Oryza sativa Japonica Group: one gene and its partner. The protein of the gene in region 2 interacts with the protein of the main gene of each other region in a pairwise test. Links are inferred from orthologs where the notes say so. Each region holds a gene or a part of one and is shown on either strand. Other genes may lie near its edges.

Region 1 (3,575 bases), about 2.6 Mb from region 2:
GTGCTGGTGCCGCCCGTCATCTCCTATGGCTTGGTTCAACCAAAACTTCGTCCTTGCAGCCAAAGATGACGAAATCTCTATCTTCATCTTTAAAAGTAGTGCTCTGGTGTTATGCCACTCCGTACAACAAAATATAAAAATATCATTTTTTTTCTACAATGATGATTGTTAATTACTTCTGTTATAAATATTGTTTGAAAGACCAGCAATATTGTCAATATCCAACTTTCAAGCTAGCAAAATGTATGCATATATTTTTTTATGAATTACCTGGCAAACCTATCTCTAGTTGTGTCATATACCTATAGTCCCATAGTGTGACTTTTGGATGTACATCGTTAATCTTTAGAAAAATATAATGCGACATCTCAGTACTATTTCGGTTGGTCACAAGAAAATCATATTATTATATGTACTAGATTTTTCAATTATACAAAGAAAATAAGTAGTCAAAGTTGATTTTTGTAAATTGTGCCAATTTTAAAAAATGATACATTTTCATGACTGGAGGGAGTATACTTGCGACAGTTTAGCAATACCAAACAAGACCAACAATTCAATGCACTTGACCAAGTATTTGAACCCAATACACTTTGTATGAAGCAAGCACTTTAAACTAATACCCACTTCAGCTATTTCAGATGTCTAGTCAAATGGCCAGCAAACGTTAAATGATAGTGTAATTATATTTATATTAGTACCTCATCAGTGTCTTGAAGTCCAGAAAAAAAGAGGGTGAGTCCAAGGTATACCTCCATCCGAATGATGCTATGCCTGAAAACCTTCAACACCGTGTGAATTATGGTGAGAGTAATTTCGCCCTACGCAAATTATGCCAGTAACGTTCTCTATGCATTCAAGGCATCCATATATGTAGCATTCATGTGAGCAACACATTTTTTCCATATCATCTATGTTAAAATAAAGCAGTATGAAAGATTCATCAAGAAAATAAGGCATAAGCCAACTTCCAAACTTGGGAGTGCTTATCTGGTTATCTACCATCCATACGTAATCGCCTAGAACTTCAAGCCAAGCACATCATCAGTTGCACACTCTTTTAATAAAGTACATATGACAAACAACACACCTACCTTAAGTTTTTTGGATGCAGTCATGTTACACCTTTCAACCCTCTTCTATGTTCTAACAGCCAACTTCGTTTTTGCATCACAGGCTATAAAAAGGGGTGGCATCCATAGCTGAAGGGACACACCTAGAAAATTTAATAGAACTTTACAAATTGAGTGTTATAGTGAGATGGCATCGGAGATGAGCAAGAACGTGAAGGTCACCGATGATCAAGAGGTTACATCACAGGAGCGTGACCAAAGTGGTGGTACAAAAGTAGGTGGGGAGGAGGAAATTGCTCCACTGGCGCGGCAGTCGTCAATCCTCTCCCTCACCTTGGAAGAGCTACAAAACTCCTTGTGTGAGCCAGGACGCAACTTTGGTTCCATGAACATGGACGAGTTTGTGGCTAACATATGGAATGCTGAAGAATTCCAGGCTACCACCGGAGGTTGCAAGGGTGCCATGGAGGAAGCCAAGGTGGTAGACAGTGGAAGCGGAAGCGGTGATGCAGGAGGAAGCGGTTTATGTCGGCAGGGATCATTTTCCTTGCCGCTACCGCTGTGCCAGAAGACGGTGGAGGAGGTGTGGACTGAGATCAACCAAGCCCCTGCACACACCTCCGCTCCGGCCTCCGCGCTCCAGCCACATGCCGGGAGCGGTGGTGTTGCAGCTAACGACCGACAGGTAACACTAGGTGAGATGACACTTGAGGATTTCTTGGTAAAGGCCGGGGTGGTCCGAGGGTCCTTTACCGGGCAAGCGGCCATGGGATCTGGCATGGTCAACGGGCCGGTGAACCCCATGCAGCAGGGCCAAGGCGGTCCTATGATGTTCCCAGTAGGACCGGTAAACGCCATGTATCCGGTGATGGGTGATGGCATGGGGTACCCCGGTGGGTACAACGGGATGGCGATTGTGCCACCGCCACCTCCCGCCCAAGGTGCCATGGTTGTCGTGAGTCCTGGATCATCAGATGGGATGAGTGCCATGACACATGCTGATATGATGAATTGTATTGGGAATGGGATGATGATTGAGAATGGAACAAGAAAGCGTCCCCACAGAGAGGATGGCTGCGCCGAGAAGACGGTGGAGCGCCGCCAACGGCGCATGATCAAGAACCGTGAGTCAGCTGCACGGTCCCGTGCTAGAAAGCAGGTACACATGTTGCTCCGAACCTTTTAGTTTCTATGTATCGTTAAGACATTTTGCATGGAGATTGAAATTTTTATGAATAATGCTACAGGCTTATACGGTGGAGCTCGAAGCTGAACTGAACTATCTCAAGCAGGAGAACGCTCGTCTCAAAGAGGCAGAGGTATTAAAGCAAGAAACATTATCCACTCAGCTTTCATTGTCATTCCTAAACAGTCTCGTTCCTTCCTTTTCTGTAACATTGAACTGATAAATATACAATGTCTATATTATCTTCCTTTTACAGAAGACGGTTCTACTGACAAAGAAGCAAATGGTATTGTCCTCTCCCATGTGGCAATCCCCATTCCGCATAGTGCTCATCGTTTTGTGAAATTATTAAATACATATTTGTTATTCATTTATTTGTGTGTGTATATATGCTCATGGAAATATGTCGTGTTCCTGTGATTTTTCAGCTGGTTGAGAAAATGATGGAGCAGTCCAAGGAGAAGATGAATGCAAATAGGGGTGGCAGCCAGCTGCGCCGCAGCGGCAGCTGCATGTGGTGAAACGGGCATAGCGGTGACCGGCGAGTGGCACACTCATCCTGCTTCTGGTGTGGCACTAGCCTCTGAGGCTCTGAAGAGGATTTGCACATTAAGTCTTCTTTCAGACTAAGTGATGTGAAGGTATTATGGTAGTAGTTGATATACATATATGCTGTGATGCTTGTAAACCTGCCTGGACCCACATGTCTTGCCATCGTGTTCACCGGTCCTTGCTGCTTATATGGTTACATGTCGCTGTTTGTACAAAACAACGATGAATAAAATTATACAATAGTATACTAGTTTGTATCTGTAAGTTTGTTCTCATGTCATATGCGCTGGAAAAAGAAAAGCTACAGTATAGGCAAACCTTGGTAGTATCGATTACGGCCCAAATTTCTGGCCGAATAAACTGGAAACCGAAACAAGCTGATGATGATTTGGGCTTTGCGATGGCGAAAAGTTCGGCTTCTATGATCCGATGGAAAAGTTGACGCGAGGTTACACGGTTTGCTAGTTTGTGGGAATTCCCCGATCCTCGGTTAATCTCGCCGTGTTGCCGTCGCTTGAGCAGGAGCAGGGATGCAAGCGGGACAGGCAAGCGGGTTTTTTTCCCGCTTATCCCACTTCTAGTCTATCTTTTTTTTAAATTTTGTACTACTATAAAAAAAATAAACTAGCAAGCAGGTTTTTATGCAGGTAGCGGGATTACCTACTTACATCCCTAAGCACGAGGTTGCCAGCATCGGGCTTAGCGTCTCCACTCGTGTTCGTGTTGGTTCCTACCTCTCCAAGTCTCTACAAGTCTAATACTCT
Region 2 (4,012 bases):
CTATTCACCTGTGTTTTCGAGAAGATACATCCTGCTTTTGTTGTTGGGCCAAAACCTGTGTTCATGAAAATCAATATCCATTAATGTCAGTGAATCAAAATCTAAGCCATCATGTATTCGAATAACTTGTGCATATATAATATTGCCAATGGAAATAATTAAATTAATTAATCAAAAACATGAGCTCAGCAGAACCAGCAAAAATCATATGCATAATGTTAGTACTGAAAACAGCAGGAAAAGATCACTTTTATTTTTTTGTTGTATGCACTTGAGCATCAACATAGAACACGATGAATGCATGCTCCTATTTGACTCCCAGATTCCAATGATATGTTCGTATGACCCACTTGCCCAATTGGGAAAGGGACCATCCCATAGTCATTTACTATTTCTGGTTCAGAGGTTTCTATCCCCTCCCAATTAACAAAGAAGCAAGTGGACTTAAACAAGCTTAATAAGCAATCCCAAATCATGCTTGATGCTTCGATCGAATGTTGATTACTCACCGGTACCGCATGTTCCACACCTGAGACGTCCCGATGTCTTCCATGGGGATGGAGACACCATCCCTCGTCTTCAGCTCCGGCAGGTGAACCTCTGCTTCCTTCTGAAACCATCCACAGATCAAGAAAGGGGAGACTTTTTAGTTCTACCATGATCGGAAATGTGAAGAGAAGGTTCAGGCAAATTCCGTCTTTGATTAGGGGAGAAACATCAAGTATGTGAGTGTGTGCAAGTGGGATCCTTCCATGGAATGGATTTGTGCCAAGTGGGGTAGTGGATTTGGAAGGAGAAGGTGTTCGAGATGGTGGTGACTGTCTCACTTTGGGGAGCACGATGCGGCCGAGGCTCCCGACGTCGCTCTGCTTCAGCACCTTCTGCAGCAGGAACCGCAGGTTCTTGTCCGTCTTCGCCTGCAGCAATCCAATCGATGCCGTTTAATTAGCTAGGTTGATAAATATTGGAGATTCTATCCCTGGACAGCGATGTGAGTGAGTGAGTTTTGAGTGTGTGGAGTGTGTGTGAGGAGGAGAATCGAGTTCTCACTCGCGTGAGATCCTAGCTATGGTGGATAGCGATTGATGTCAATCGTCTGCATGCATGCACACCTGCCGCTTCTCTGAAGCCGTCGAGCGCTGAAGGCTCTCCGCTCCGGCCGTCGCCGCCGCCTGCGGCTTCGGCTTCGGTTTCTCCGGCGAGGGTTTCGGCTGCTTCGACGTGGCGGGAGGAGGATTGGGCTTGTTTGATAGGGGATTCTGGATGATCTGGGCCGCCGGCGGCCAGATGCCCCAGCTCCGGCAGCCGGCCGACGACGGGGTGACCGGCGCCGAGTGCGCGGCGCGAGGGGAGGGCTCCTGTGGATGGCCGGAGATGTGGATCTGGCTCAGGTTGAGCTGCTGGCTACGTTGCTGCTGCAGGCAGGAGAGGCGGCGCTGCCTCGCCATCCGCTTCTTCCGGGCCTCCTTTGTCGAGGACGGCTCGACTCCGGCGAGGCGTGGAGAGCACATGGCGTGGCCGCCGGAGTACTGCCCGGGGAATCCGGCGGTGAACGGCGGTGGCACGACCGACGGCATGGTGTAGGAGCTCGTGGAGGAGACGGGGAACGGCGCGAATTGCTGCGGCCAGGCCATGTTCCCTCCGCCCGACGCATGCATGTCGCCCGCCGCCGCCGCGGTCGGCGGGGAGAACGGCTGGCTGCTCACGACCACGCTGCTCTTGCTGCAGCTCTGCTGGAAAGGGAACGGGCCGGCGGCGCCTGGGTACATGGCGTCGCCGCCGTACGCGGCTGGCGGCGTGAAGGCCTGGTAGGGCATCCAGGATGTGGCGGCGGCGGAGCCCATCTCCTGGCCACCGGAGGGGAACTCGTAGCCGGGGTTTGCGCCGGGGCTGGGGAGCTGAGGGTCCGACGACGCGGCGCCGTCGTCAATCGCCGTGCGGGGGCGCTTCTTCTGGAGGTGGTGGTTCTGCACCCAGGTGAGGATGAGCTTGAGCAGCTGCATGGTGCCCTGGCGCCCGCCGCCGAGCCGCGCGGCCGCCGCCTCGATGGTGGATCGGCGGAGGCGGATGCTGCGGAGGTCGTCGGCGGAGATGTACTCACGGTTGCTCGTGAGCCACTCCATGAAGAACGCCGGCAGATCGTCGGGCGCATCACTCCCCTCCATGCATGCGTCGCCGGCGTCGTCTCCTCCCCCGGCCGCCTCCATCACCGCCTTCGTATCGCCGTCGCCGGTACAGTCGTCCGCCTGATGCGGTTGCCCGGACATGGCGTCCTCTATCATCATGCCAACGTCGTCCGGGAACAGCGGCTGCTCGGCCTCCCACGGGACGGACAGCGACGCGAGGTCGAGGAGCTGGTCTATGTCGGCGAGCTCACCAAACCCGTCCGCCGCCGAGGCCGGCTCGGACGGCTCACCGCCGCAACCCCCTCCCGCCGCGGTGGTGAAAGCGCTGGACGAGTTCGACGACGACGACGACGAGAAGGTTGAGCTTGACGGGGAAGAAAGGCACGGGAAGTCCGGGAGCAACGGGAAGGTATCGTCAGCGAAAAAGACGTCATCCCTCGCCGCCTCACCCCTGATCTCCGCCGCCGGGGCCTTCCCCCGTCCGCCGCCGCCGCCGCCGCCGCCACCCTGCTTCCCCGGGTTCCCGTGCGAGTGCGGCGCCGACGAGCCGGCGGAGGCGTCCATGCAGAGTGGAGGCGGGCGGGGGGCGGAGAGCGCGAGATGTAGGCGAGGCGGGGGGTTTGGCTTTGTTTGTCTGTGTGCGTGTAGGTGTGGAGGTGGGTGCAGTTACTGAGAAAGGAGACGAACAGGAGAAGCAGCGGGAGGTGGAGGGTGGGAGAGTAGAGAGAGAAGAGATGCGGCTGCGGCCCACACGTGGCGGCCGCCGAGGGCTGTGGGAAGCGCTCCACCGCCCACGCCAGCCTCTCCTCAGCGACCGTACCTTTCGCCCCCCGCACGGCACGGCCACGTCCCACTGACCCGTGGGCCCCACATTTCCTCTGGGCCCACTTATCATTGCTGGGGGCTGCGTTTCTGGTGGGTGGGGTTCCCCTTTTTTTTCCTGAGTTGTAACGGTCAATGACAGTGGGGCCTACGTGTCAGTGGGAAGTACGGGATTTCGGCGCGTGCTGGTTTTGACCGCCGCGGCAGAGGGGGAGGGAGAGGAGCGTTCTTGCCTGTGGTCCAATGACATGTGGGACCCAAAAGGAAAACCATAGAGTGGTAGGGTCGTGTGCGCGTAGCGATTTATGCGCGCCGTAGGATGTCCGTGTCGCGTCCGCGCCGACTAAGGGGCTACGCGTCCGGTGTTTCCGAGCCGTCCGATCCGAACCACCGCGTGATCGAACGGACGCCATCTTCGGGAGGAGACCTGTGTGCTGTCTGGATTAGGAATATGGGGTGCGTTTTTTCTACGCGCACGTACGAAACCTACACGAGCTGGAGATGATGACGTGGAGGTGTGGGTCGCACCTTGGTTACGATGACGTGGGATTTTACCATTGGTTGCAGTGGAGGTGGCCCGTGTGAACACATGCAGCGAACGGCCCAGCTCGATCGATCACCAGCAGCCGGGAAGCGTAAGCGCTAAGCAGAGGCATGGCAATGCCATGGCATACGTGATCTTGTTCTGGCCGTTGCGTGTGGAACTGTGGGTGGAGCATTTGCTTTGTCTTGTTCGATCGGAGGATGCGGCTAGGTAGGATACATGTTTTGCAGGGGTAAGAGCAAATTTCCACTTTCTCTTTGCTTGTTTGCTTCGCAACAAATGCATTTGAAAATGACAGACAGGCCCCCAAAATCAGATTAAAAAATATGTTTTCTTTGGTGTCCTTAGTGATGAGGAGCACCCAAATAACCCATGCGACATCATCCAAGGATTTTATTTTTTTTTTGCAAGTTTGTACTTTAAAATGAGCCAATAAATCTATAATACACATTTACGACTACGTGTCCTTTTCAATATCCGTGGAATCAATTGATATATTGATTCATGGATGCAAACAAAA

Evidence for each region.
Region 1: the proteins of B3 domain-containing protein VP1 (region 2) and bZIP transcription factor ABI5 homolog interact in a two-hybrid assay, tested with the Arabidopsis thaliana proteins (2 studies listed by BioGRID). The link is inferred for Oryza sativa Japonica Group from reciprocal best matches to the Arabidopsis thaliana genes ABI3 and ABI5.

Annotation. Positions count from the first base shown.
Region 1 is NC_089035.1:37,800,300-37,803,874, forward strand, and holds bZIP transcription factor ABI5 homolog, read left to right. Parts: upstream 1-1,212; 5' UTR 1,213-1,260; coding exon 1,261-2,232; intron 2,233-2,320; coding exon 2,321-2,392; intron 2,393-2,515; coding exon 2,516-2,545; intron 2,546-2,687; coding exon 2,688-2,780; 3' UTR 2,781-3,075; downstream 3,076-3,575. UniProt on the Arabidopsis thaliana protein: Participates in ABA-regulated gene expression during seed development and subsequent vegetative stage by acting as the major mediator of ABA repression of growth.
Region 2 is NC_089035.1:40,358,700-40,362,711, forward strand, and holds the start of B3 domain-containing protein VP1, read right to left. Parts: upstream 2,801-4,012; 5' UTR 2,691-2,800; coding exon 1,113-2,690; intron 918-1,112; coding exon 828-917; intron 611-827; coding exon of another isoform or gene 608-610; coding exon 510-607; intron 56-509; coding exon 9-55; intron 1-8. UniProt on the Arabidopsis thaliana protein: Participates in abscisic acid-regulated gene expression during seed development. Regulates the transcription of SGR1 and SGR2 that are involved in leaf and embryo degreening.